Arabidopsis thaliana: one gene and its partner. The protein of the gene in region 1 purifies or fractionates together with the protein of each later gene. This does not show direct contact. Each region holds a gene or a part of one and is shown on either strand. Other genes may lie near its edges. The genes, in order: AT1G43860 and AT1G09150.

Region 1 (12,887 bases):
TATAATGATATTTGCATTGTTTAGCTTTAAACTTATACGTGGATAAGGTAATCTAAAGTGTGAGAAATAATAATTTGCTGATAAATATTTTGTAGAGATAATTTGAGTATAGTGTTTGATAGACCAGTTTAAGTCTACAATCTTCTTTCTGTAAATGAGTTGGAAACATATCAAAAAGACGAGTCAGATATACTCAACCATGTTTTAAGGTAGTAAAAATAAATAGATCAAAATATTCAACCATGTTTCCAATGGCAGGAGAAGTTCTTGCAATACCAATATCTTTGGCTATATATGAGTCTGTTTTTTTAACCATTAGTGATTGTAATTTAAATCAATATAAAAGCTATTTGGTTTGTGGTGTTGTTAAACCGGGTGAAGCACTCTCTCAACTCTTTATACATATTTTTTCTTTTTGTTGACTAATAAATTTAACATTTTAACACACAAAAAAATGCTTTTGACTTAAAATTGGTTACATGCATTATTAGGTTCAGAAAAAATGAGGTATTTAAGATTTATATTCAGCAATGGTTCATATATATGCTCTCATGTCTGATTTTTTCTTTTAAATATATTTATGTTAGAAAATGATCTGCAACACATCAGACTAAAAAACTGAATTATTTTTTTTATATATTTTCTAATATTAATAGAAAACGGTTTATTAAACAAATGAATATGCAAATACTCTAAACCGTGAGAATTCCTTGTGGAGTTTCATTTGTATATAATATTTATTTTCTTTGCTTTATAACTTTAAAATACCATCATGATTATTATAGTTCAGCTTCTATGTAATGAAACCATGTAGACAATAAAATAAAGAAAATAAGAAGCAGTTTTTATTATCTAAAAAGCGTAGACAAAAATAATTAAGAAAACTTGAACAAAAGAAAAAAGATAGAAAGTTGAGACGAAAAAGAATATATAAGGGGAATGGGAAAAAAAAATCATCTAAGCAAGGGATGAAGATCAAACTCGAGTTGTTTAATCTCATACATAAATCCGCTTTCAAATTAATTTTATGTTGTCGTTCCATAATTATATTTTTTCTTAAAAATAGTCTTGTTTTCCATTCTCTCTCTCAAACCAAATTTACACATTTAAATAAACTTTAAACAGAAAAACCACTATTAATGTAGTAATATATTAAATATTGATATATTTCTATATCAAATTTAAAACTAAAACCAAAAAAAGAAAGAAAAATTTCTATATCAAATTTAGAACTAAAAACAAATAAAAATAGTGTCATTTCCATTATGTTCTTTTAAACCAAACTTTACATTCTAAGAAAAAACACTATTGATGTGTATATTAAACTTTTGATATCTTTCTAAATCAAACTTTTCTTAAGGTATTTAAAAGTGATAGTATTCTGAATGGAAAAATAACAATTTAACACTAAAACCAATAAAATAAAGAGAAAAATGTTTGTGGCTAACAAAAAAAAAAAATCCAGATTGTGATTACAAAAAAAAAACATTTCTAGGGCATGTCATTGACTTCCTTTGAAGAAGAAGAAGAAGAGAGAGAGAGACTGAAAAAGAAAAAGTAAGAAAGGGAATGAAATAAATCCGATCGAATACAATTTTGACGTCCGCAAGGACACTATTCTCTCTCTTCTCATCTTCTTCTTTCTCTCTTCTCTCTCTCTCTCTACAGCGAAGAACAGGACACAAATTACTCTGTGAAGCTTAAAAAGGTATAATTTTTAATAAAACCCAGAAACTACAATTTCTAGGCGGCAGAGAAAATTTGTTTCTACTTCTTTTTGTTTCTCTTTGTCTTCTCGTCTCTTTATCCCCAAACCCATCAATAAAAAACCCTAAAAGACTTCAAATTTCTTCAAGATTTTGTTCATCGGAAGTTTTCAGATTTTTAGTTGTGTAAAGTCTCTTCCTTTTTGTTCGATTCTCTTTGTTTTGAGTCTTATCAGAGACTTATTCTTCAATTCCACCTCTGGGTAAGTTTCTATAGATTCTCACTAGTAATCTCTGTTTTTTTTCTCAATTAGGGTTTGATCAAAGTTTCGTTTTTTTCTTTCTGGGTTTGTTCTTAACATTATGCTTTTGTTTTGTTAAGGTGGTGAGAGTTGGAAATGGAGTAGATTTGCTTAATTTAGATCTGTAAGTAATCAACAGACAGTGTTGTTTGGTTCTAGAATGTTCGATACGGAATCTCATCACTCAGATTCATCTCTTTCCGTGGTGTTTACGACTCTGAAGCTTATCATTGCTCAGAAAGAATACGTCTTTGCTCCTACACAGAGCTGAGTTTTATAAAGTCGTCAGTTTTGTTTCTTGCTTTCTTTGTTGATTGTGGAGTTGTGAATTAGTAAGAGTATGGTACCATCAGAGCCGCCTAATCCTGTTGGGGGTGGTGAAAATGTTCCGCCTTCGATATTAGGAGGACAAGGAGGAGCTCCTCTTCCTTCTCAACCAGCATTTCCTTCACTTGTCTCTCCGCGTACTCAGTTTGGTAACAATATGAGTATGAGTATGCTTGGGAATGCTCCAAATATATCTTCTCTTCTCAATAATCAGTCTTTTGTAAATGGTATCCCTGGTTCTATGATTTCTATGGATACAAGTGGTGCTGAGTCTGACCCGATGTCTAACGTCGGGTTTAGTGGTTTGTCGTCTTTTAATGCGTCGAGTATGGTGTCTCCGCGCTCATCAGGTCAAGTTCAGGGTCAGCAGTTTTCGAATGTTTCGGCTAACCAGTTGTTGGCTGAGCAACAACGGAATAAGAAAATGGAGACGCAGAGTTTTCAACATGGTCAGCAGCAGTCAATGCAGCAGCAGTTTTCGACAGTGCGTGGTGGTGGATTAGCAGGTGTGGGACCTGTTAAGATGGAGCCTGGTCAGGTTTCGAATGATCAGCAGCATGGTCAAGTACAACAGCAGCAACAGAAAATGTTGAGAAACCTAGGGTCAGTTAAGTTGGAACCGCAGCAAATTCAGGCCATGAGAAATTTGGCCCAAGTGAAAATGGAACCTCAACATTCTGAGCAGTCATTGTTTCTCCAACAACAGCAGAGGCAACAACAGCAACAACAACAACAACAATTTCTTCAAATGCCGGGGCAATCTCCGCAGGCTCAAATGAACATATTTCAGCAGCAGAGACTTATGCAACTTCAACAACAGCAACTCTTGAAATCTATGCCTCAACAGCGTCCTCAATTACCACAGCAGTTCCAACAGCAGAATTTACCTCTAAGGCCACCTCTGAAACCAGTGTATGAACCTGGCATGGGTGCTCAGCGTCTTACACAGTATATGTACAGACAACAACATAGGCCTGAAGTAAAGCTTCTTACCATAAATTTAACTTCTTTCAGCCTATGGCTTTTCTTCATAATTGACATTTGTGCTTGCTATTAAATGCAGGACAATAATATCGAGTTCTGGAGAAAATTTGTAGCTGAGTACTTTGCTCCTAATGCCAAAAAGAGATGGTGCGTCTCTATGTATGGCAGTGGCAGGCAAACAACAGGCGTTTTCCCTCAGGTTGGTTTACTGCTCAATGAACTTATCTTGTTTGTAATACAATTGTAAAGGAGCTTGTCTTTTGCACCTGAGCCAGTTATTCTGGATAAATTACGTACTTGTTTCATGTTATACCTCTTTACATGAGTATTTTTATTCCACAAACATTGCAGGATGTGTGGCACTGTGAGATATGTAACCGAAAGCCTGGACGTGGTTTTGGTATGTTATTTAGATGATCAGTGCAGACAATTTCCTGTACATCTTATCAAATATTCCTTCCTTACTGCTTTGTCTCTTTCATTGTTTAGAGGCAACCGCCGAAGTCCTTCCGCGGCTGTTTAAGATTAAGTATGAGAGTGGGACGTTAGAAGAACTGTTATATGTAGATATGCCAAGGGAGTCCCAGAATTCATCTGGCCAAATTGTCCTGGAGTATGCAAAAGCAACACAAGAGAGTGTCTTTGAGCATCTTCGGGTTGTTCGTGATGGCCAACTTCGAATAGTCTTCTCGCCAGATCTTAAGGTTCTTCAAGCTACTCTATCTTTCGCAGCAAATTATTATACTATTACTTTCTCTCCAAGCCCTTTATTCTTGTAAGTTCCTTCTCAGATATTCTCCTGGGAATTTTGTGCTCGGCGGCATGAAGAGCTTATTCCACGAAGACTTTTGATACCGCAGGTAACTTCCAGAAAGATTCACCATATTGCTCTGACATATAGTTATTTTGGAGATGCGGCCTTTCCTTTTGTCACAAAATTGGATATGCTGTCTTAATATTATTCTAGTCTGCTTTTCTTTGCGAAATCGTCACTTTACCTTTCATCTTTTGTGGTTTCCAAATTTCAATAGGAGTAGAATATTACACATCTAAATCAGTGAAAACAGCTTAGGTAAATTAGCTATTTTTGTATTCACATACAGGTTAGTCAGCTTGGATCGGCAGCTCAGAAATATCAACAAGCTGCTCAAAATGCAACAACAGATTCTGCTCTTCCGGAGCTACAAAATAATTGCAATATGTAAACTTCCTCTCTTTCGCTGTGAAATTGATGTAACAAATCCTGTTATTCGACTTTTGATTGGTGATCTCTGATGTGCTGCAACTGGTCTGCAGGTTTGTTGCATCTGCTAGACAATTGGCAAAGGCCCTGGAAGTACCACTTGTGAATGATTTGGGATACACAAAGAGATATGTTCGGTGTTTGCAGGTAAATAACTAATGTCTCAATATGGATCAAGTGAACTCTACAATCTTGCTTAAAACTTAAGATTCTTGCCATCAATGAAAATGCAGCTTTGAAAAGGATAATACATAAAAATGAAATAAACTTAATCAATCTTTGTATTTAGTCTGTCCCTGTGACCATGTTTGCCAATGCACATTGATATTTTGCAATATTGTAGATCTCAGAGGTGGTAAATAGTATGAAGGACCTGATAGATTATAGCAGAGAAACACGAACAGGACCAATCGGTAAGTTTATGTGACCACCTTTTAATGCATTTGGTATTTTTAATCTTGAAGCACCTACTCTTTTCGTTCATGTATTATATCAGAACTTCATTGTACATATTCTCCGGTGATTTGACTGATGTCATGTTTTCTTTCTTTGGTACAGAGAGTTTAGCCAAGTTTCCTCGGAGAACAGGCCCTTCATCTGCACTGCCTGGTCCTTCTCCTCAGCAAGCCAGCGACCAGCTTAGGCAGCAGCAGCAACAACAACAGCAGCAGCAGCAACAGCAACAACAACAACAACAACAACAGCAGCAGCAGCAAACAGTTTCCCAGAATACAAACAGTGATCAAAGTAGTAGGCAAGTTGCACTAATGCAGGGTAATCCAAGCAATGGTGTAAATTATGCCTTTAATGCAGCCTCTGCATCCACTTCCACCAGCAGCATCGCAGGGCTCATCCACCAGAATTCAATGAAGGGAAGACATCAGAATGCTGCTTACAATCCTCCAAACAGCCCCTATGGAGGAAACTCTGTTCAGATGCAATCACCTAGTTCCTCGGGTACCATGGTGCCATCATCATCGCAGCAACAACACAACCTGCCAACATTTCAGTCTCCAACATCCTCATCTAATAACAATAATCCCTCTCAAAACGGGATACCATCTGTTAATCACATGGGTTCCACAAACTCACCAGCAATGCAACAGGCAGGTGAGGTTGATGGAAACGAGTCTAGCTCGGTGCAGAAGATACTGAATGAAATCCTGATGAACAACCAAGCTCATAATAATAGCTCAGGAGGAAGCATGGTTGGGCATGGGTCTTTCGGGAATGATGGGAAGGGTCAAGCTAATGTAAATAGTTCTGGTGTTTTACTGATGAATGGCCAAGTGAACAACAACAACAACACAAATATTGGAGGTGCTGGTGGGTTTGGTGGTGGGATTGGTCAATCCATGGCAGCAAACGGAATCAATAATATAAACGGTAACAATAGTCTCATGAACGGAAGAGTTGGGATGATGGTGCGGGATCCAAACGGTCAACAGGATTTAGGAAACCAACTTTTAGGAGCAGTGAATGGTTTCAACAATTTTGATTGGAACGCGTGAAATGAAGAAGAGGAAGAAGAGACACTGAAAGGGTAATGTTCTGCTTGCGCAGCATCACACATCTTCAAACTCAGGATAAGGATAGGCCAATAAGCCGTGATATTGTGCTTAAGAAAGGAAGAGTCAAATCTTTGTATCAATAACTGGTTTCTAGGTCACCTCCACAATCACCAATACCATCTCTTGAGTTACTGTTTCTTTTTTTACTTTGGGGAGTTTTTCTTATGCTTTATAGTTTATAATGTACATCTTTCTATCGGTGTGTGTTCCTTAGGGCACATCATCAGGGAGGCAATGAATCAAGCTCTATCCTTCATTTATCTCTCTGGTCTCTTCCATGTGTTAACCAAACTTCCCTAAATTCTGACCACAACGTTAAATATGTGCAATGCTCTTGAACGATGCTGATCGGTCATGATTTTTTGTTGTTAGTGCAATGAAATACCACAAGCCGTACGATGTCTATTGTTTGGTCACAGTTATTAATCAAATACCAAATATCCAAGCTTGTCTCTTAAACACAAGTTTTTACTCTTAAAGTTTGCGCAAAATTTCATTCCACAAGTTTTGTGTATTCATACTCACATATGACTACGAGATTTAACACATTGACAAAATTAAAAGCACAAAAGGAGAAAATTGTAGTTTCAGAAAGAGTAGTCTTTCAAATCTGCTCTAGAGTCGTCCATGTCAATCTCAGACATGCATTCGTCAGCACTAATAGGAGGGAGTTTCCGAGTCTTACGCTTAAGGTTGTGTTTGTGCCAATCACTCTTACAGTGCTCTCTGTATTGCTTAGCCTCTCCAACGAACGTGTTGCAAGTGCTGCACTTGGTCCCCTTCTTTTCTTCTCCACCTTCTTGCTTTATGTTATCTGTAGTACTTATCTCTTGCTTCTGCAGTTTCTTGCTAAGTTCAACGACGGGATCGGTCAAATCCTTAGTCTCAGTCTCAGCAGGTAACAACGGCTTGTGGGTTTGCAATGCCATATCATCATGCTCATCGTAATGATCCATGCTTGTGTCACCTTCTGCATGAACTGATACAGCGAGTATTTCTAGTCTTCCCTGGATACTCCTCACATGGGAATCACACTCTCGGAATAGGCCCGGTTCCATCTCGCAGACCTACACAAGAAATGTATCACCATGATCAGAGAGGATTATAGAAAAGAAGAAGTTCAAAATGTTTGAAGATATAGATCATTACAGTGGACATCTGTGTTCCAGATTCGTCTTTGGAGACAACACTACCATCCCATTCTTTTAGCTTCTCCAGAAGCGAGGGGAAATTTTGAACAGGAACAGTAAGACGCAGTCTCATTGGAGAACGCTTTATAGGGAAGTGCTTTTGCAGCTCACGGATGACATCAAGTGCCTGCATAGTTTTGATAATCAAAATGAAGACTCACATAAGCTTTTGATAGAAAGCCCACAAGTCACTTTGCTTCTACATTATAACTTTAAACAACTCACCTGCTTCTTGGAATTACTATGAGGATCAACAGCAAAATGAATTTCATGCATTAGGCGCTCTACCATGCTGATGGTATAAGGTCGTTGTGTTTCAGGGTTGATAGTTTTCTGCATAACAATCGTTGCTATATCCCGAAACTGGCTTGAGAACTGTGATTCTCTTTCTTTTCCAGCAACTTGAAGCTCTCCTTTCTCCAAAATCTGAACATGAGAGTTGGAAATGCAACATATTAGATATATTATAAGGAGTCAGAACTTCAGAAATCTAAGAAAATCAAACAAGCGTTTTAACATACATCGATGCATATTTTCGTATGATCATCTGATCCAAACGACTTCATCAAGTCTTTCGATTTTGCAAGAACTCCTTTCGAAACATTTGAATAAACAGTATGCGACTGTAGCACTTCATCTATATCCTTCTCCCTGCATAAACATTTTGACTCAAATCTCATTACTTTTCTAAGAGGTCAAACACATTGTCCATCTTTCACACCAAATTCAGCATGCTCTACCATTTGCGTACATTATTTACAGAGATAAACGACTAAATTAGACTTACCACCTCCACATTAGAATCGACTCGCCAAATTCAAAAACATCAACTCAAGACAAGTAGTCAAGAACAACGCAAACAAAAATTGATGATGCCATTAACTCATATCCCTCATCACACCAAACTTATCATACCATACATTATTTTAAGAAATAAACAACTAATTAAGTATAAGACCTCCACATCATAACCGAATTCGTCAAATTCGGAAAACAAAATCAACACAGGGTCAGTCAAAGAACAACACAAACAAAGATTGATAATGCGATGATACTCGTTTCTCTTCAGATTAGGTCATTTTAACACCAAATTCATCACACTATACCAATTCCTTACATTATTTACAGAGATAAACAGCTAAAATTAGGCTTAAGACCTCAATATCAAAATCAAATTCGCCAAAATCAACACAAGACAAGTCAAGAACAACGCAAACAAAGATTGATGATGCGATTTATCAAATTAGGTCAAACACATGATCCATTTAAACACAATATTCATCTAACTACACTTTTAACAGTGATAAACAACCAAAAACCCGTAACCAAATTCGACAAAATCAAGCAGCGACGAAGATCGATTGAAGCGATTATAGTGGAGATAAGCAAAGATTTCGAAGCTTACACGCCAGACCGCCATGAAAGGACCTTATTCTTGTAACAAGCGATCTCGAAGCGATTGCCTTGCTTTTTGAGACGAACCACTGCAACATTAGTCAACCTCTTTTGCCCTACCGGTTGCACCAGCGTCTTCGACATACTTCTCTCTCGCGAATTTTGGTTTCCCTCTCGCCGCCACTAAATTTTGGGATATTTATTTGTTGAAACTGCAAAATGTGATAGGTCTTCACTTGTTTATTAAGTTCGTGGCTAAATGTGAAGAAAATAAAAAGTTATTGGCTAAAACTTAAAGGGTTGCCTGAATTTTCAGCCCTATACTAGTTAAAATTTCAACATTCCATCCTAAACTTTTAGTCACTTGAAAAATCACCATAAACAATTTTAATCTCGATAAAACTACATGTACTTTCGGATTTGTTCTTAAAACTACGCCTCCAATTGAACCGACCAGTTAACCGATAATTATACATCCGGTTTGACTTACCCATAATTTAACCAAAACTAATCCGATTTTGACTTTATTTTAACCCAATTTATATCCAAAAAATATATTCTTTAGAAGAAAAATACATTTTATTTATTTTCATTTATTTTTATAAAAAATTAAAAATAAATTAATTAATTTTACCAAAATAATAAAATAACAAAATATACCACACAAAATTATATAATAAAATTTTAGTATATATTTTGGTAATAAACAAAATATACCGCAAAATAATATAACAAAATAGACAACAAATTCTTTTTATAAATACAATGGTGTTATATATAAATGTATTTGGTATATACTCTAAATTTAATAATTCAAAGGTCATTTTCTTTTTAAAAACACCATAATCATATATAAATATATATATATATATATATACATATATAACTCATCTTGAATATATAAAAAGAAAACTGAATCTATAAAGAAAAATAAATTTATAAATACCATAATATATACTTTGATTGTGGTGTTTACGGATATCTATAAAAATAAATTTGGCATATATTTTGAATTTCATTACATATATAGAGTTCAAAGGTCATATATTATAATTTCAAGAAAAATGAATATTTTTGTTTAAAAAAAGACATAGCTTTAAATTTATAAAAAAATATAAATGATTGCCAAAAGGAAAATGTATATGTTTGTATATTATCAAAATTTTATAACAAAATGTAGCTAAAAATATAATTTGGGGTATATTTTGTCATATTAAGTTTTGCTAAAATTAAGTAATAATTTAATATTTTTAATTGTTTATCACAAATACAAATTAATAAAAATACTTTTACTTCTTAATAAGACAATTTATTTACATTTTGTGTGGGTCAAAATTAGGCTAATATAGAGTCAAAATCGGATTAGTTTCGGTTAAATTATGGGTAAGTCAAACCGGATGTATAATTATCGGTTAACTGGTCGGTTCAATTGGAGGCGTAGTTTTAAGAACAAATCCGAAAGTACATGTAGTTTTATCGAGATTAAAATTATTTCTGAAGGTTTTTCAAGTGGCTAAAAGTTTAGGGTGAATGTTGAGATTTCAACTAGTATAGGGCTGAAAATTCAGGCAACCCAAACTTAAAATATTGAAAGGTTTTTAGCGGTTAGGAGAACCGGCCTAGACATCGAAACTCGGTGACTCTGATTCGACTTGTCTAACCGGTCAGACCGGGTTTTCTAATTTTAATAGCTTCTGATAAACAACCCATTGGCTTAAGGATTTTTAATTTAGGGGCATCTTTGAGCAGACGCATTAGTAGATTCTCCCATTCTGGTTGATATGTACTTAGATGATGTGGGTTCTAAAATCCACACTAGAGATTTGTATTTAAGATTATGAGAAAGGAGGGCTAGATCTTAACTGAAACCTTGAGAGTTATATTGCTAAGAACGAATGGACTTTTGTATTAATTATGACAAAGCTTTTACAATGTGAAAAGAGATTACAAGTGTAAAAGTGTGTGTGTGCGAATGTGAACTGGATTGAATGTCTCTTCCAAGTCGTCCTTGCTCCCTTATATAGATCTACGCACGTGGTAGCTTCGTCCGGGATCTGCGGAGATCCTCCTAGATATTCATCAGGTCAGTTCCAAAATATCAGGTCCGCTCCGCGAATATCTCCTCATCAGTTCCTAGGTCATTATTCGCTTATCTCCCTTCATCAGATGACTGGGCTTATCTGGCCCAAGTACCCATTCGCGTATGTGGGCTCGTCAGCTGCATAGGTCCTCTACTTGGTGGGCTTGGTGGGCTTTTGTGGGCTGGCTTGGTATTTTCGCAGGTGGATTCCTGGAGGGGAATCCAGCTCCAACATTTGCCCCCCAGCCCATTGAGTGAGTAAGCGAACTCGATGAGCGGACATATAGGTCAGGTAAGATTGCGAAAATATTCTTGATGAGAAGATAAATGTGATTAGATCACTCAGTTTTGAGGATAAACTCAACAATTTCGATTTAATTTCAGATTCCCTTAACCGAAAGATTTCGAGGAGGATACGCGAGATAAGTCGCTGCTGATGTGGACGGCTGAGATGGAGCGTCTCTTCAGCGCACCGCATCTGACGGTCCAGATCAGGCGCGGAGAAGAGATCTCTGCAATCTCGAAAATCGTGGTGATGATGGCTTTAAATAACTTCCCACCTATCCATTTGACGTCACGTCAACTCACACAACTCTCAAGGTAACTTCTCTCATTCTTTATTATTTATTGCTCTTTGTTTTGTAGAAGTAGAAAAATCTCGTCTTTATTTTTTTTGCTATCTCCTTCGTTTCTCTGCTATTCCCTCTTTCTCGATCTGCCTTCTTTGCTCTTTTCTTTCATCTCTCTCGTCCTTCTCTGTCGAAAACCAAAGATGAGCGACTTTGAAGATTCCCAGAATAAAAGCAACCATAGCTACGGCGACGATTTAAGTTCGTCCGAGACGAGGTCGGTGGCGTCACCGCCGCGAGTACAAAGACGCGTCATAACCCTGGGCGGAATGGATCCAATTCGTATGTCGTCAACCAGAGCCGACAAGCCGAAGAAGAAAAAGGCTGCCAAGCAAGGGGGAGGCACGCCGATGATAAACAGCGACCTGGTCGACCTCCGGAGGAGATGCCAGGTTCCGGTGGAGGTACATATGATACTCCTAAGGCCGCCGCTGCATCCTGAGAACGTGCCGGTCGGGTGGTGCTGCGCTTATGCCAATTTCTTCGAGAAATGTGGCCTATTTTTCCCGATTCCGGCGTGTATTCTCGAGATGCTCTACTGTCTCGGCCTCGCCTTTCCCCAGATGTGTCCGAACTTCGTCTGCAATGTGCTGGCGTTATTCACCCAGGCTAGGAAAGTAAACAGAGAATTCAGCTGCCATGACCTGCTTCAGCTCTACCAGGTCAAGACCAATGCTAGGAGCGACCAAGGGACGTACTACATTAGTGCTCGTCCCAGATCTCTGGTTCTCGGCGGTTTGAAGGCTTGTCGAGACACCAATTGGCGATCCAAGTACTTCTTTTTCAGAGTAGATCGTCATTCAATCGGCAATTTCGATCCTGCGAGGATAACAAGGACCTGGTCTACCAACCTGGGTCAGATGGAGACCTGAGCCTCTTGATTTTTCTTTGTTGTTTGTGTCGAATCCTTGACTGCTTTTTGCTGAACGTTAGTACTGAAACTAATTGTTTGTTTTTGATGGTTTGCAGCAAGGACCAAGAAAGTTACTCTCTCGGAGACGGAACTCGACCTGTTAACCCTTCTCCGACGTGGTCAGACTGACTGGTCCACTTTAAGAAGAGATCGCATCGTAGCTGCTCTTGCCATAGCTCCAGCAGTTCCCGTAGCTCCAGCAGTTCTTGCAATCGTCCCTCCAGCAGCATAGCTAGATCCGATCAAAGAGGTCCCGCGGATTGAACCGGTTCTCGAGGCTGATCTGCCTGTAGGTACGAGTTTCGTTATATTTTCTTTGGTTTAAAAAATGTACGAGTTATCGAGATAGCTGAGCAACTCGAATTGCTAACTAACAAATGTCGTGCTCTATTTGTTCAGTTCCTCCTGACTCCAGCTCTACTTCAGAACTCCCGCTCATTAGAAGAATGAGGCGTCCAAGTCTTCGTGTTCAACGAGCCAATGCCGGAGCTCTTGCTCGTGCTGGTGATCTGTCGGCCGCGGTGACCGCGGCTCAAAACATTCTAGC
Region 2 (12,689 bases), about 14 Mb from region 1:
TGGGGCGGCTATTAGCTCGCCAGGACAAACGTCCTCAAGGCATAACAACAGTACAGTAGTTGTGAAGAAGAGACAAAATCCCAAGTAATGATGAAAACATTTTGTGAGCATTTTAAGAATACAATTATTATTGGCGGACCCATATTTCATATTATGAGGTCATATATATACAGACGCCGTATACGAAGAGTAGAATACGTATGAGAGTGATAGATTGTAGTTGTACTATACTATAGGTTGAATATGTTTTGTTTGATTTGTGTGGCGTTTACTAGAATGAATATTCCATTCTTTTTATGGCCGATGTTGTATTCTACTACAGTATTACTTCTCGAAGCTAATGTATTTTATTCATCACAAGAGTTATACATTTTCTGTTTTAAACTTTCCATAATCTCGATTTATATGTACTTTTTAACAATATGATTTGTCAATGTAGCAATTTTATAGTTTGATATTTTGTTAAGCTAGACTAGTTAGTTAATAAGAGCCAAATCAGTTTTTGATGGCAGTTTGACTAGATGGATGGTGATGTAAAACTGCTACAAGCAAATTAGCCAAATAGTCAAACACATATCGAAAACTGTGTCCATTATGATATTTTTTTTATAAAAAAAAACCAAACAGAAATATTACTATACGGATTTTTTTCACAATCAGATTTAGTTAAATCAAAATTTGACCAAGAAAAAAGAAGTTAATAAAAAAAAATTCTCCTACCCTAAAAATGTGTCCGTTATGAAAGTATTTAAGAAAATTTGTTATTTTTATTACAAAAATGCTTTAAACAAATATTGCACGAATCATTTGCAGAAAATACTAATTCTATAATCAAACTTAAGAATATACGATTTCTATAATTAAACTTAAAACTATACTAATACAATTCCTTACCTAAAGCGGGACTTTTGAGGGGCAATTAAGTAATTTCGAGAAGTTCATCATATTTCTTAATAAAATTAGCTGTCTCTAACCCCCGCGTCGCTGTTTCTTCCCAATCTGAGAAAACTCTCACTCTGCAACTTCGTTTCTCTTCTCCTTTCTTAAACCTCTCACGCGGTTTCAGACTTCCGTTCGCTTACCGAAGACGGCTCGGAAATTCTTTCCTGAAGAATCAGCGACGACCTTAGCATTATCTACAAGTCATCTTTTCTGCTAGATCTGTTGTGTATACTACTCGCGATTTCATTTTGGTGAGTTTATTGACTGCGAAGAAGCCTCAATTAGTGTTCTTTTACTGATTTTGCTATTGCTCGATTCTACTTTCGATACATTTTCCTGCATCTCAAAAGATAGCCAATTGTTGGAGATTCTAGAATTCTCTAGATTAGGGTTTTCCTCTGCATTTTCTCTATATTTTTTTATTTGTTTGGTTCCATTAACCAAAAAGAGTTTATCTTTGAGTAATTCCGTAGAAACCTCAAATTTTTGGATGAGAATCGAAATTTAGTAAAGTTGGTTACCATTTTGTTCTCATTTTTAGGGAGATAGATTGTTATAGGGTTCCTTAGTATTATTTATTAGAATTGAACCCTAAATGTTTGCAGCAACTAAATAATTTTGTTTTCTGTGATGAACAAAGAATTTGTTCCAGCCAATGCTGAAGGCTAGACTAAAATGAGCGTGTCAAAAGCATCGAGGACGCAACATTCGCTCGTTCCTCTTGCGACCCTGATTGGTAGGGAGCTGAGGAGCGAGAAAGTAGAGAAGCCTTTTGTCAAGTATGGTCAAGCAGCTCTCGCTAAGAAAGGAGAGGACTACTTTTTGATCAAAACTGACTGTGAAAGGGTACCTGGTGATCCATCATCGGCTTTTTCAGTTTTCGGGGTAATTGAGGCATTCTTCCCTTTAAGGATTCTCTGTTTTAGTGACGAATAGCTTACCCTTTTTCTGTTTTGTCTTCAGATATTTGACGGACACAATGGTAATTCAGCTGCCATATATACTAAGGAACATCTTCTGGAAAACGTGGTGAGTGCAATTCCTCAAGGCGCAAGCAGGGATGAGTGGCTTCAAGCTCTTCCTAGGGCTTTAGTTGCTGGCTTTGTGAAAACTGACATTGAATTTCAGCAGAAAGGTCTTAGCTTATGCTTATTTTTTAAAGGCTTTTTGCTTTCTATTCTTGTTTTTCAAGCATGCTCTAACCGATAAGATCTGTTGTGCTTACAGGGGAAACTTCAGGAACAACCGTGACTTTTGTTATAATTGATGGTTGGACTATTACTGTTGCTTCTGTTGGTGACTCGCGCTGCATATTGGACACCCAAGGTGGTGTGGTTTCTCTACTGACTGTTGATCACAGGCTAGAAGAGAATGTTGAAGAAAGAGAACGCATAACTGCTAGTGGAGGTGAGGTCGGAAGACTCAATGTATTTGGTGGCAATGAGGTATGATCATTTCCAGTGAATTTAAGTTACTGTTTCATTGTGTTTTGGCTGTGGTGGGTTTGTAATGTGTAAGAAGTCCTTGGATTTTCAATGATATTAATGTGCTTTGATTATGCCAATGCAATAGGTCGGCCCACTACGATGCTGGCCTGGTGGTTTATGTCTTTCGAGGTCCATTGGTGATACGGATGTGGGAGAATTTATTGTCCCTATACCACACGTTAAGCAAGTGAAAGTAAGCTCCCTTTCCCTTGGTACATTTTTCATTAATTCTTATATTTGACATTGATCAAAAAGTATTTTTATCTGTACGTTCAGCTTCCTGATGCTGGAGGGAGACTCATCATAGCTTCAGATGGTATATGGGATATACTGTCTTCTGATGTGGCTGCCAAAGCTTGTCGTGGTTTATCTGCCGATCTTGCTGCTAAACTTGTTGTTAAGGTTGGTGATCAACCCCGTTGATTTCATTGTGTTCTTCCTCTGGTCTAGATTCCTCTTTTTTCTGAATCATATGTTTTTACCAGGAAGCATTGCGAACAAAAGGGTTGAAAGATGATACGACTTGTGTAGTCGTTGACATAGTTCCATCTGGTCATCTTTCCTTGGCTCCAGCACCCATGAAGAAACAGAACCCATTTACCTCATTTCTTTCAAGGAAAAACCATATGGATACCAACAACAAAAATGGCAACAAGCTTTCTGCTGTTGGAGTTGTAGAAGAATTGTTTGAAGAAGGTTCTGCTGTGCTTGCAGATAGGTAATCTTCTAGCCATGAGTTAATATTGTCAAACTCTTATCCAACCCGTTAAGTAACTGAAACTTCAGATCCTGACTATCAGTCTTTGTTTGCTCGTGTTTTGAAATGTAGATTGGGAAAGGATCTTCTCTCAAATACGGAAACTGGGCTCTTAAAATGTGCTGTATGCCAAATAGATGAATCTCCGAGTGAAGATTTATCAAGCAATGGGGGTTCCATCATTTCCTCAGCATCTAAACGATGGGAAGGTCCCTTCCTATGCACAATATGCAAGAAAAAGAAAGACGCCATGGAAGGAAAAAGACCAAGCAAAGGTTCAGTGACTACTTGAAGCCACTTGCGTGCGTGAAAAAAATCATAAAATCCGGTAAGAAATTTGTATGTTTCTCATTTTCTTATCTAACTTCTTCTCTTGTGCTCTGTAAGAGTAGCTTGGTTTTGTGTTCTTTTCCCAGGTATTGATTGGAAAGTAGTAGTAATAGTAGAAGTTTATGCAAATGTTTGTAGAGAGAGAGAGAGAGAGTGTGTGACAATAGATCCAATTCTTATCCATTGTTTAAGATTTCCCTGGATTGCGTTCTTGGCATTATGCTGACCATTTACCTTCGTAGATGTGTTTTTGTTTGGGAAATTGCTGATATACTAACAAGAGTTTCCAAGTTGTAAGTAGAATTCATATTTTGTTATTGTCACTCAATCCTATTGCACTCATTCATTGAAGTTTGTTTCGGTTTATATATATATGCCTTTGGTTATGCGAAATGAGATTGGTTTTGGGATTACTACTGTTCGGTTTGGTTTATGCTTTATGATGCGATCTTGAATCTAGAATCAATGTGTTTGTGATTGTATGGTTACGTGGTTCGATATGTCCGGTTTACTTTGGTTCTCACTTCACCGGTTACCCAAAAATAAAATAAAATTGTTGTATGGTTTCTATTTATTTCGTTTTACAGACTGAATAAGTGAATATTTGCATGGAAACCGAGATATGAGTCTGAAGCAGTAGCAGTTCTGGAAACAACAAAAATTTGATAAACCGTCGTACTAAAGATAGTTCGAACAAAAATCCAAAACACATTTCTCATTTCACAAAACAAACGAAAACTATTGAGTCACAAAACACAGAGAGAATGGAGAAAACAGAGGAAAGCGTCGGAATCAGAGTTTACACGACGACAACGACGCAAAATCCGTCACCAACATCGTCTCGGTCGCCCAAACCTGTCCCTCTCTCTTCACTGCCTATGCTTCCGGCAGGAGCCGCCGCGGGAGGAGGAAAAGGTAGAAAACGTCGCATGGTGGCGAAAGGAGTTCAAAAAACGGTTTCGAAGACATCAATGCTCGTCAATTTCCTTCCGACAGGAACTCTCTTGATGTTCGAAATGGTTCTTCCGACAATCTACCGTGACGGAGACTGTAACGGAATCAACACACTCATGATTCATCTTCTCTTGCTTCTTTGCGCAATGTCTTGTTTCTTCTTCCATTTCACCGACAGTTTCAAAGCCTCCGATGGGAAAATTTACTACGGTTTTGTGACTCCACGTGGACTCGCGGTGTTCATGAAACCACCCTCGCCGGGGTTTGGAGGCGGAGATGTGATTGCAGAGAAGGAGATTCCGGTGACGGATGAGAGGTATAAGTTGAGGGTTAATGACTTTGTGCATTCAGTGATGAGTGTTTTGGTTTTTATGGCGATCGCGTTTTCGGATCGGAGAGTCACAGGGTGTTTGTTTCCAGGAAAAGAGAAGGAGATGGATCAAGTTATGGAGAGTTTTCCGTTAATGGTCGGAATTGTTTGCAGTGCTTTGTTTCTTGTTTTTCCGACCAGTCGATACGGTGTCGGATGCATGTCTACATAATAACTAATTTCACTTTTCTGTTGTTTTGTGATTTTTTAAGTATCTTTTTTTTGTAGTATTTGCCTTGTAATTTAGAGTATATGAATTTAATCCACTGACTACTATCCATCGTTTTATTAGTGTTTTACAAAATAGTTTCGAGTAATACACATGTTTTCCTTGATTCCATTATATTATGTCCTACAATATAGTAGGTCGGTGAGCTTGGCTTGTTTGTCGAGATGAAGTCGAGTTTATGTCAGTGAAGTTATCATGATCTTATCTTCAAAGATGAAAGATGTTGATATCGCAAAGAATTCTCAAGAAATAACAAAACACATAAAAATCTAATCAGCCGAGTTACAATAAATCCCTAATAAGGGTTTGAGTCACTTCACTGGACAAAAACCTACTTTGGTACATGGCACGTGGAAACACACGTGCCTAAAATAAACTCTTGCCAAAGTTCGTAAAAAAGAAAGATATTTTCACTGGAAAAAATAAAGTTGAATATTTTCCATAATCATCTTAACCAAAAACCTCAAAAATATTCACAAACTATGTTTTCAGGGAACAAACTCTTGTGTCTTTATTTTGACACAAGAGAACAAACCTTTTTTCTTGACCAAAAACCATCGAACCTTTTGTCTTCCACTAAGGCAATGATATTAATTTCAGGATTGTGCACTTCGGTCCAAAATAGTAACTACTAGGACGCTTATATTTACGACTCATCATCGGTCATGTATTTCTTCTACAAAAAAAAACACTAAATAAAACAGAGCCATAGTTTCATTAATAATCTTCTCTCGCTTTCTCTCTTTACTTTAATTCTGAAGAAGGATGATGTTACCAGAAGCATGCGTGGCGACTATCCTCTCATTTACAACTCCGGCTGACACAATCTCGTCGGCGGCTGTCTCATCAGTTTTCCGAGTCGCCGGAGACTCTGACTTTGTGTGGGAGAAGTTTTTACCGACCGATTACTGCCACGTCATCTCTAGATCGACTGATCCTCACCGAATTTTCTCTTCTAAAAAGGAGCTTTATCGATGTCTCTGTGAATCAATTCTCATCGATAATGGCAGAAAGGTCTGTGATCTTTATCTCTGTCTCTGCATGTGAACCAATTCTTGGTTTAATGTTAAAATTCATTTCAGATTTTCAAGATCGAGAAGCTTTCAGGGAAAATATCGTATATTTTGTCGTCAAGAGATCTTTCCATAACTTGGAGCGATCAAAGACATTACTGGTCTTGGAGCCCACGATCAGATTCAAGGTCGTTATTAATTTAATCATATCATTGGTGTAACAGTGTAAGCAATAATTTTTGTTTCAATATTTTGATTATAGGTTTTCCGAAGGAGTCCAACTTATAATGACAGATTGGTTAGAAATCATCGGAAAAATCCAAACCGGAGCTTTATCGCCGAACACAAACTACGGAGCTTATCTGATTATGAAAGTAACGTCACGTGCCTATGGACTAGACCTAGTTCCGGCAGAGACATCGATAAAAGTGGGAAATGGTGAAAAGAAAATAAAGTCAACTTATCTAAGTTGCTTGGATAACAAGAAACAACAAATGGAACGTGTGTTTTACGGACAAAGAGAACAGAGGATGGCGACGCATGAGGTTGTCCGAAGTCATCGGAGGGAGCCAGAGGTGAGAGACGATGGGTGGATGGAGATAGAGCTGGGAGAGTTCGAGACAGGATCAGGAGAAGGTGATGACGACAAGGAGGTTGTTATGAGTCTGACTGAAGTTAAAGGTTATCAATTGAAGGGTGGAATTGCCATTGATGGGATTGAAGTAAGGCCTAAACCCCTAAAAGTGAGGGCCGGGACCAACTAAAAGATGAGTGCCAAATTTTGTGTTTACCGGATAATGTGTTTGGTTTGGGTAAAAAAATGTAAGATGAGAAAACTGTTTTGGTGGGTTGGTAATAACTCTAATCGAGTTATACATTATTAATTTATAATACATTAGAGTAGATAGTAGTTTCTTTTGTTTGACATTTATTTGATAACATTCTGAAAATTGATTAATATCCGTTAGGTATCATTTTGTTCAAACATCTCTGTCAATTCAATTGTATTAAAAATGAAAGCGTTTAAGTAATATTATCCATAATAGAAGTACCTAAAATCACCATAAGCTATACAAATACGAATAATTCTGTTTTAACGACATTTTGCAAAAATAGTATACAAAGGGAGATATCCACGCTTTACCAAAGTAAAAGTTAATATTGAATAGGACAACAGCGAAATAGACGTGTCTTAATGTCGTCATTTCATTTGGCACATGAGGACATTCTTAGCTCATATCGAATTTCTAGTGTTACCTAATCTCATGTTAGGTGGCTTATACAAATTTTTGGTTGATACAACGTCGTCATATCGTGCAAGCACGTGTATGTAGTACTATTATAGCTTTAATACCTAATTAGTAGATAAACAGTGGGCACATTCTGCCTAATCGTTTATACTTTATAGGCTTATAGCAATTTGTTAAGTTCAATTAGGATGACTTTAAATATATTCTGACCGAAATAAATTTGAACAGCTTTTTAATCTTACTTGTTTGATTATACGGAATTAGAAACTGTAACCTTAGCTAAGGTTGACGTTCCCTCATAAAATAAGTATCAAATGTTTGAAAACAAATCAAACCAAAGCTAAGGTTGATCCGGACAAAAGCTCCATAAGTTTAGAGAGAACATAAAAGGAGACCAATATATCTCTCCGACACTGATTCACATTTGACATTGTCCTCAGTCTAGTCGTTCCATCTGCAATACAAATTTCAGAAACTTTTGATTTGTGTTCTTCCAAAATCGATTTTTATATCAACAATGAGACTGCTTGGCAATACTACGAATAGAGAAACCAGAGACAAGTATTGGTACCTTCCAGAGACCGTCGTTGAGGTAATGCATGTTGTCAACTCCTATTCCTTTGTTAATGCTCTTTCTGTGAACATACACAAGAAAAGTTTAGCGATGCGAAAGAAATTTTATGAGCAAACAGGGGAAACACGGCCAAAATTGATCCTGGTGCAGGTATGTGTATCTAAGGGAAGAAGGAATATCAATAAAGTGACAAAGATAGGGTTACTTGGAGAGGCCTGGAGCCAAGAGACTGTATTTTGGCTAAGATACGAAAGTATATCAAAGCACATGTTTGTATTTTCAAATAAATTCCAGCGAAAAATTGACTTACATGTCCTTTGCTGACATTTTGGTGAAGCCTATTGCTAAGGCATGTTGCTTTCCTTCTGCATATATGGCCTAAACAAATACAGATTCATGGTTTAAGATCAGCATATACAAACAAAAATGCAACCCAGGGAAATACTGTTTTTATTCATACCACTGGCCTTTCAGCCTCGACTTCTTGATCCAGAACGCCTCCCGGGGATGTAAGACCAGGACACATTATGTTTGCACCAGACAGAACAAACTTTATGGCACCTCTATCAACTTGAAACCTCTTCATTATATTTGGGTCTGCAAAACTCCAAACATTCAGCTGCCAAATTTTTGACATTCGTGGCTAATTGAAAAAACTCCAAGTTTCTTTCTATGTATCATTCAAGTATGTAAAAGTTAGCTGAACGTGGTGTTTTCAAGAATATTTTATACTCTTCTGGTAACAGCCAATGCCAAAACCTTCTCACTATGATAAGGGTCAGCTAACCCGGAAAACATAAAACAAAATATACTAAACAAAAATCCTGGCTAACCAATCATACGTGGACCTTTTATATAGTTCACTCGCATGAAAAAAGCCAAAGGAACAACAACTTACAGGAACCAAACCCCAGGAAGTTCTAAATAACTCAGAGAAAAGTGTCGGACATACTATTCAGGTATATGCAGTATTTGAACCAGGTAAGTTCTACTGCAGACCACAGTAAGACTAACAGGTGTGAAGAAGAGTGATTGTATGAATAAAACACCCAGATATGTTATGTTTTGATAACAAGACCATATAGCATGGATGGTGTGAAGGAAAAGTGATATTACATTGATGAAGAAGCCGCAGTGTTGGCATGTATGGCCCGTCACGGATACAGAAGAAGAGGGGGACATTGTTGACAACAACTAGGGTCAGATGGTTTGGGCTGCACGAGAAATATAGTCAGGAATACTGTAAGACATAGATAGTGGGTAAAAGAAAATTCAGAAAACAAAACAATGAATATGAGTTTGTTAATTTACAGACCACTTCACTACGATAAGAGGAATCTTTTTGGGAAGTAGATCCTCCATCACTGATTCAAGTCCCGGGTACTGCAACATTAACATAAACATATTTATATCTGACAAACTTCACGAAATCATAAAAGTTTAAGAAGGGGAAAAAGACAAATGAAACAACAGACATACCTCATCTTGGATACTCTGGCGGATCCTACGTTGAACAGATGCCTTCACTTGGTTTTGTGATGAAATCTCCTCCAAACAAAACCTAAATAAAAAGTAGTGAACATAAATAACACCTTCATAGACATAATGGTATATCAAATAGATCTAAAGTTGATAGCAGTAGGGAAAAATAAACTTTATACAAGATTCACTATGAATGTATAAGCATGTTTCAGGAGATGGATAAACACAAACTCCATGATAGTAGAGAGTTTAGACTGGTCAAATCAAGACACAAACTTTCCTCTATGACCCACGACTCTTTGTACAGATTTGATAAATCAAATAGTGACACTATCAATATAGAAACCAAAACTTTACAATAGCAAGATGTTAGCTTTTGAGAACTCAAAACCTTCTACTTTGAAGAAAATATAACAACCAATATGCCCATACCAAGGCTACTCTAAGCAATCAAATTAACAATGTGGTCGACAACAAGTAGAAGGGAGTGAGTTCTCGATAGTTATTAGAGTAAGTGGATACTAAATAAAGAGACCATCACATTCTTTATCAACTAGTATAAACAATGCCGAGATGTTGAAACCACTAATTCTTAGATTCTACAATCCGGGTATGAAAAACAGTTTCTATCTAAATAAAAAAGTAGAGAAAGAATCTAGAAAGAGACAAAGATGCTTACTTCTTAAACATGTTCGAGGTTTATTGAAAATGATCACCAGCTTCTAACTATGGTATCTTCTTCCCTGCAAGCGAACAGTGGAAGATGATTGATAACGGAAATATCGGAACATCACTCAACAAACCAAAAATTTGGACATCATATCGCAACAAATTCAATAGGAAAAATACTGAAATTCCAAAACAGAAAAACCAAACGGAACAGAGCAGGAACTCACGGACTGAGAGAGACCGTGGACGGTGTCACGGCGGAAAATGGTCTTGGACGGAGTTACTAATCGGCGAATTGAGATTTGAGAGGTGGTAGTAGAGGAACCGAGAGAATGTTTCTCTCAAAAAAATCCCCAAGTGTTTCCGATCTAGTGTCTCTTTTGTCCAAAAACGACAGTGTTTAGGAAACCTAGGAGAATGAATGACCCGATGGTCCGAATCCGATTCGAAATTGGTTCGAATTGTAATAACTAACATACAATATTCCGGTTTGAATGATAAGAAAAAACACATTCGATCCGGTTAGAACAATATATTAACAGGCCCATTAAAACATATGGGCCGATCTTGATCAACTGGGCTATTCATCGTTGATACATGCGGCCGCACAGGATTAAAATCCAGTTCCGTTTTATAAAAGGATACTAGTTTCCAAACGAACGGTGGTTGTCTCCTTTCCAGAACAATCTAACGCTTTCTCGAACATCTTCTTCTTCTTCTTTCTCGAAATTATTTTTCCAGTAATCAATTTCTTCTCTTCTAGATTTTTACAGGAACTAATTTTCTGCTCTGAGGTATCAGATGAGTAGCCGATGGAATCGTACGATCTACGTTGGGAATTTGCCTGGAGATATTCGCAAGTGTGAGGTTGAAGATCTCTTCTACAAGGTTTGAAAATTCCTCTTTTCTCTCGATAAAAATTGAATTCATTATGACTTGTTTGGGTTCATAAATTTGCAATTCTGTCTTGCTGAGACAATTTAAATCGACTCTTATGTATATTTGTTTCAGTATGGACCAATTGTGGACATTGATTTGAAGATTCCACCGAGACCTCCTGGTTATGCCTTTGTCGAGGTATATTGATCAAGTACAAATTTGTTTTTTTCTTCTTCTTGTAATAGTATAGGCTAATGACTAAGATAGTTTGTTATTGGTGGCAGTTTGAAGATCCTCGTGATGCAGACGATGCAATTTATGGACGTGATGGTTATGATTTTGATGGGTGTCGACTTCGGGTTAGTAAACGCATGATGAAAGCTAGCTTAATTTTCTGTAATTTCTTGTAAAGGTGTTATCTTTGTGTGATGTTTTTAGGTTGAGATTGCACATGGTGGTCGTAGATTTTCACCATCAGTTGATAGGTACAGCAGCAGCTACAGTGCGAGCCGTGCACCTTCAAGACGCTCTGACTACCGCGGTTTGTAGAGTCTTCTCGATTGTGTTATTTGGTGTTGTGTAAAATTTTATATTTGAAAACTCATTTTTACTACCTAAACATGTAGTGCTTGTGACCGGATTACCGCCTTCTGCTTCGTGGCAGGACCTTAAGGTAAGGGACACTATATAGTCTTTTTCTCTGAATGTTGGTTCTCTATATCATGTTTTGGATTTATCTCTTTTCTGAAATGATGTTATTTGCTATTTACGGGTGATTAGGATCACATGCGCAAAGCTGGAGATGTCTGCTTCTCTGAAGTTTTCCCTGACCGTAAAGGTGAGTTGACATTCGATAGTTTGGATAAGCTTTTGATTGATGTGTTAGTAAATTAGTCTTTGTGAAGGAGAATAGGTGTTAAGCATCTGAACTGCTAAACTCACATTCAGTATTTCTTTGTAGGCATGTCTGGGGTTGTGGATTATAGCAACTATGATGATATGAAGTACGCAGTAAGTTTTATATCTTTGCAACGCAAATGTTCCTGGACTTATGCCTTAGACTGCTTTTGTTTCATAGTATACCGAGCTGAATTTATCTTCCTGGAGGCCAGTGTTGGATCTTTGATGTTCCCTTAAAATTTTTGATGTGACAGATAAGGAAACTTGATGCCACTGAATTTCGAAATGCTTTCTCTAGTGCTTATATACGGGTATGTTGTATTGCTTTCTTTGATTTTGTTAAGCATAAGTGGATATGGAGTCATCTCTGAATTTACTGTTCAGGTGAGGGAATATGAGTCGAGGAGTGTGAGTCGAAGCCCAGATGATTCTAAAAGCTATAGAAGCAGGAGTCGGAGCCGTGGTCCAAGCTGTAGCTATAGTAGCAAGAGCAGGAGGTCTTTTTTTTTTTTTTTTTTTCATAAACCTAAGACATATAAGGGATTTTTATTGTAACTTATTTATGAAATTAACTGACTTCTAAATGCAATGCAGTGTGTCACCTGCTAGATCCATTTCCCCGCGTTCACGGCCCCTTAGTCGTTCTCGCTCGCTATACAGCTCTGTCTCAAGGTATGAGTGTTAGATTTGTATCATTATTATATATGTAGTTACCCCTTCATGGATCACTTGTTCTTGCATAGTGAACTCCTTACTAGCTTTATTACTTACAACTAAGCACCTTTTGTTGCTTCCGTACACAGTTGAATTTGTTTGAGTCTTTTTTCCCTCATAGTGGACTAGTCTATTGTCA

The links.
Region 2: the proteins of AT1G43860 (region 1) and AT1G09150 fractionate together in Arabidopsis thaliana (co-fractionation; one large-scale study listed by BioGRID). This does not show direct contact.

What each region holds. Positions count from the first base shown.
Region 1 is NC_003070.9:16,615,524-16,628,410, forward strand, and holds AT1G43860 (sequence-specific DNA binding transcription factor), read right to left. Parts: upstream 8,972-12,887; 5' UTR 8,863-8,971; coding exon 8,729-8,862; exon of another isoform or gene 8,004-8,728; coding exon of another isoform or gene 7,975-8,003; coding exon 7,845-7,974; intron 7,750-7,844; coding exon 7,549-7,749; intron 7,451-7,548; coding exon 7,283-7,450; intron 7,201-7,282; coding exon 6,721-7,200; 3' UTR 6,074-6,720; downstream 1-6,073. Other genes in the region: SEU (SEUSS transcriptional co-regulator), read left to right, coding at 2,349-3,314, 3,399-3,518, 3,671-3,719, 3,809-4,023, 4,111-4,179, 4,423-4,520, 4,616-4,709, 4,906-4,975 and 1 more.
Region 2 is NC_003070.9:2,943,988-2,956,676, reverse strand, and holds AT1G09150 (pseudouridine synthase and archaeosine transglycosylase (PUA) domain-containing protein), read right to left. Parts: upstream 10,648-12,689; 5' UTR 10,285-10,647; intron 10,132-10,284; 5' UTR 10,079-10,131; coding exon 10,068-10,078; intron 9,468-10,067; coding exon 9,386-9,467; intron 9,290-9,385; coding exon 9,222-9,289; intron 9,121-9,221; coding exon 9,023-9,120; intron 8,504-9,022; coding exon 8,367-8,503; intron 8,285-8,366; coding exon 8,217-8,284; intron 7,968-8,216; coding exon 7,904-7,967; intron 7,787-7,903; coding exon 7,769-7,786; 3' UTR 7,518-7,768; downstream 1-7,517. Other genes in the region: AT1G09170 (P-loop nucleoside triphosphate hydrolases superfamily protein with CH (Calponin Homology) domain-containing protein), read left to right, coding at 1-88; AT1G09160 (Protein phosphatase 2C family protein), read left to right, coding at 1,618-1,827, 1,906-2,077, 2,170-2,387, 2,515-2,622, 2,706-2,831, 2,915-3,147, 3,259-3,478; AT1G09157 (transmembrane protein, putative (DUF679)), read left to right, coding at 4,281-5,012; PP2-B15 (phloem protein 2-B15), read left to right, coding at 5,835-6,083, 6,152-6,270, 6,345-6,846; SR30 (SERINE-ARGININE PROTEIN 30), read left to right, coding at 10,859-10,945, 11,069-11,134, 11,221-11,295, 11,375-11,477, 11,563-11,609, 11,717-11,774, 11,898-11,947, 12,091-12,147 and 2 more.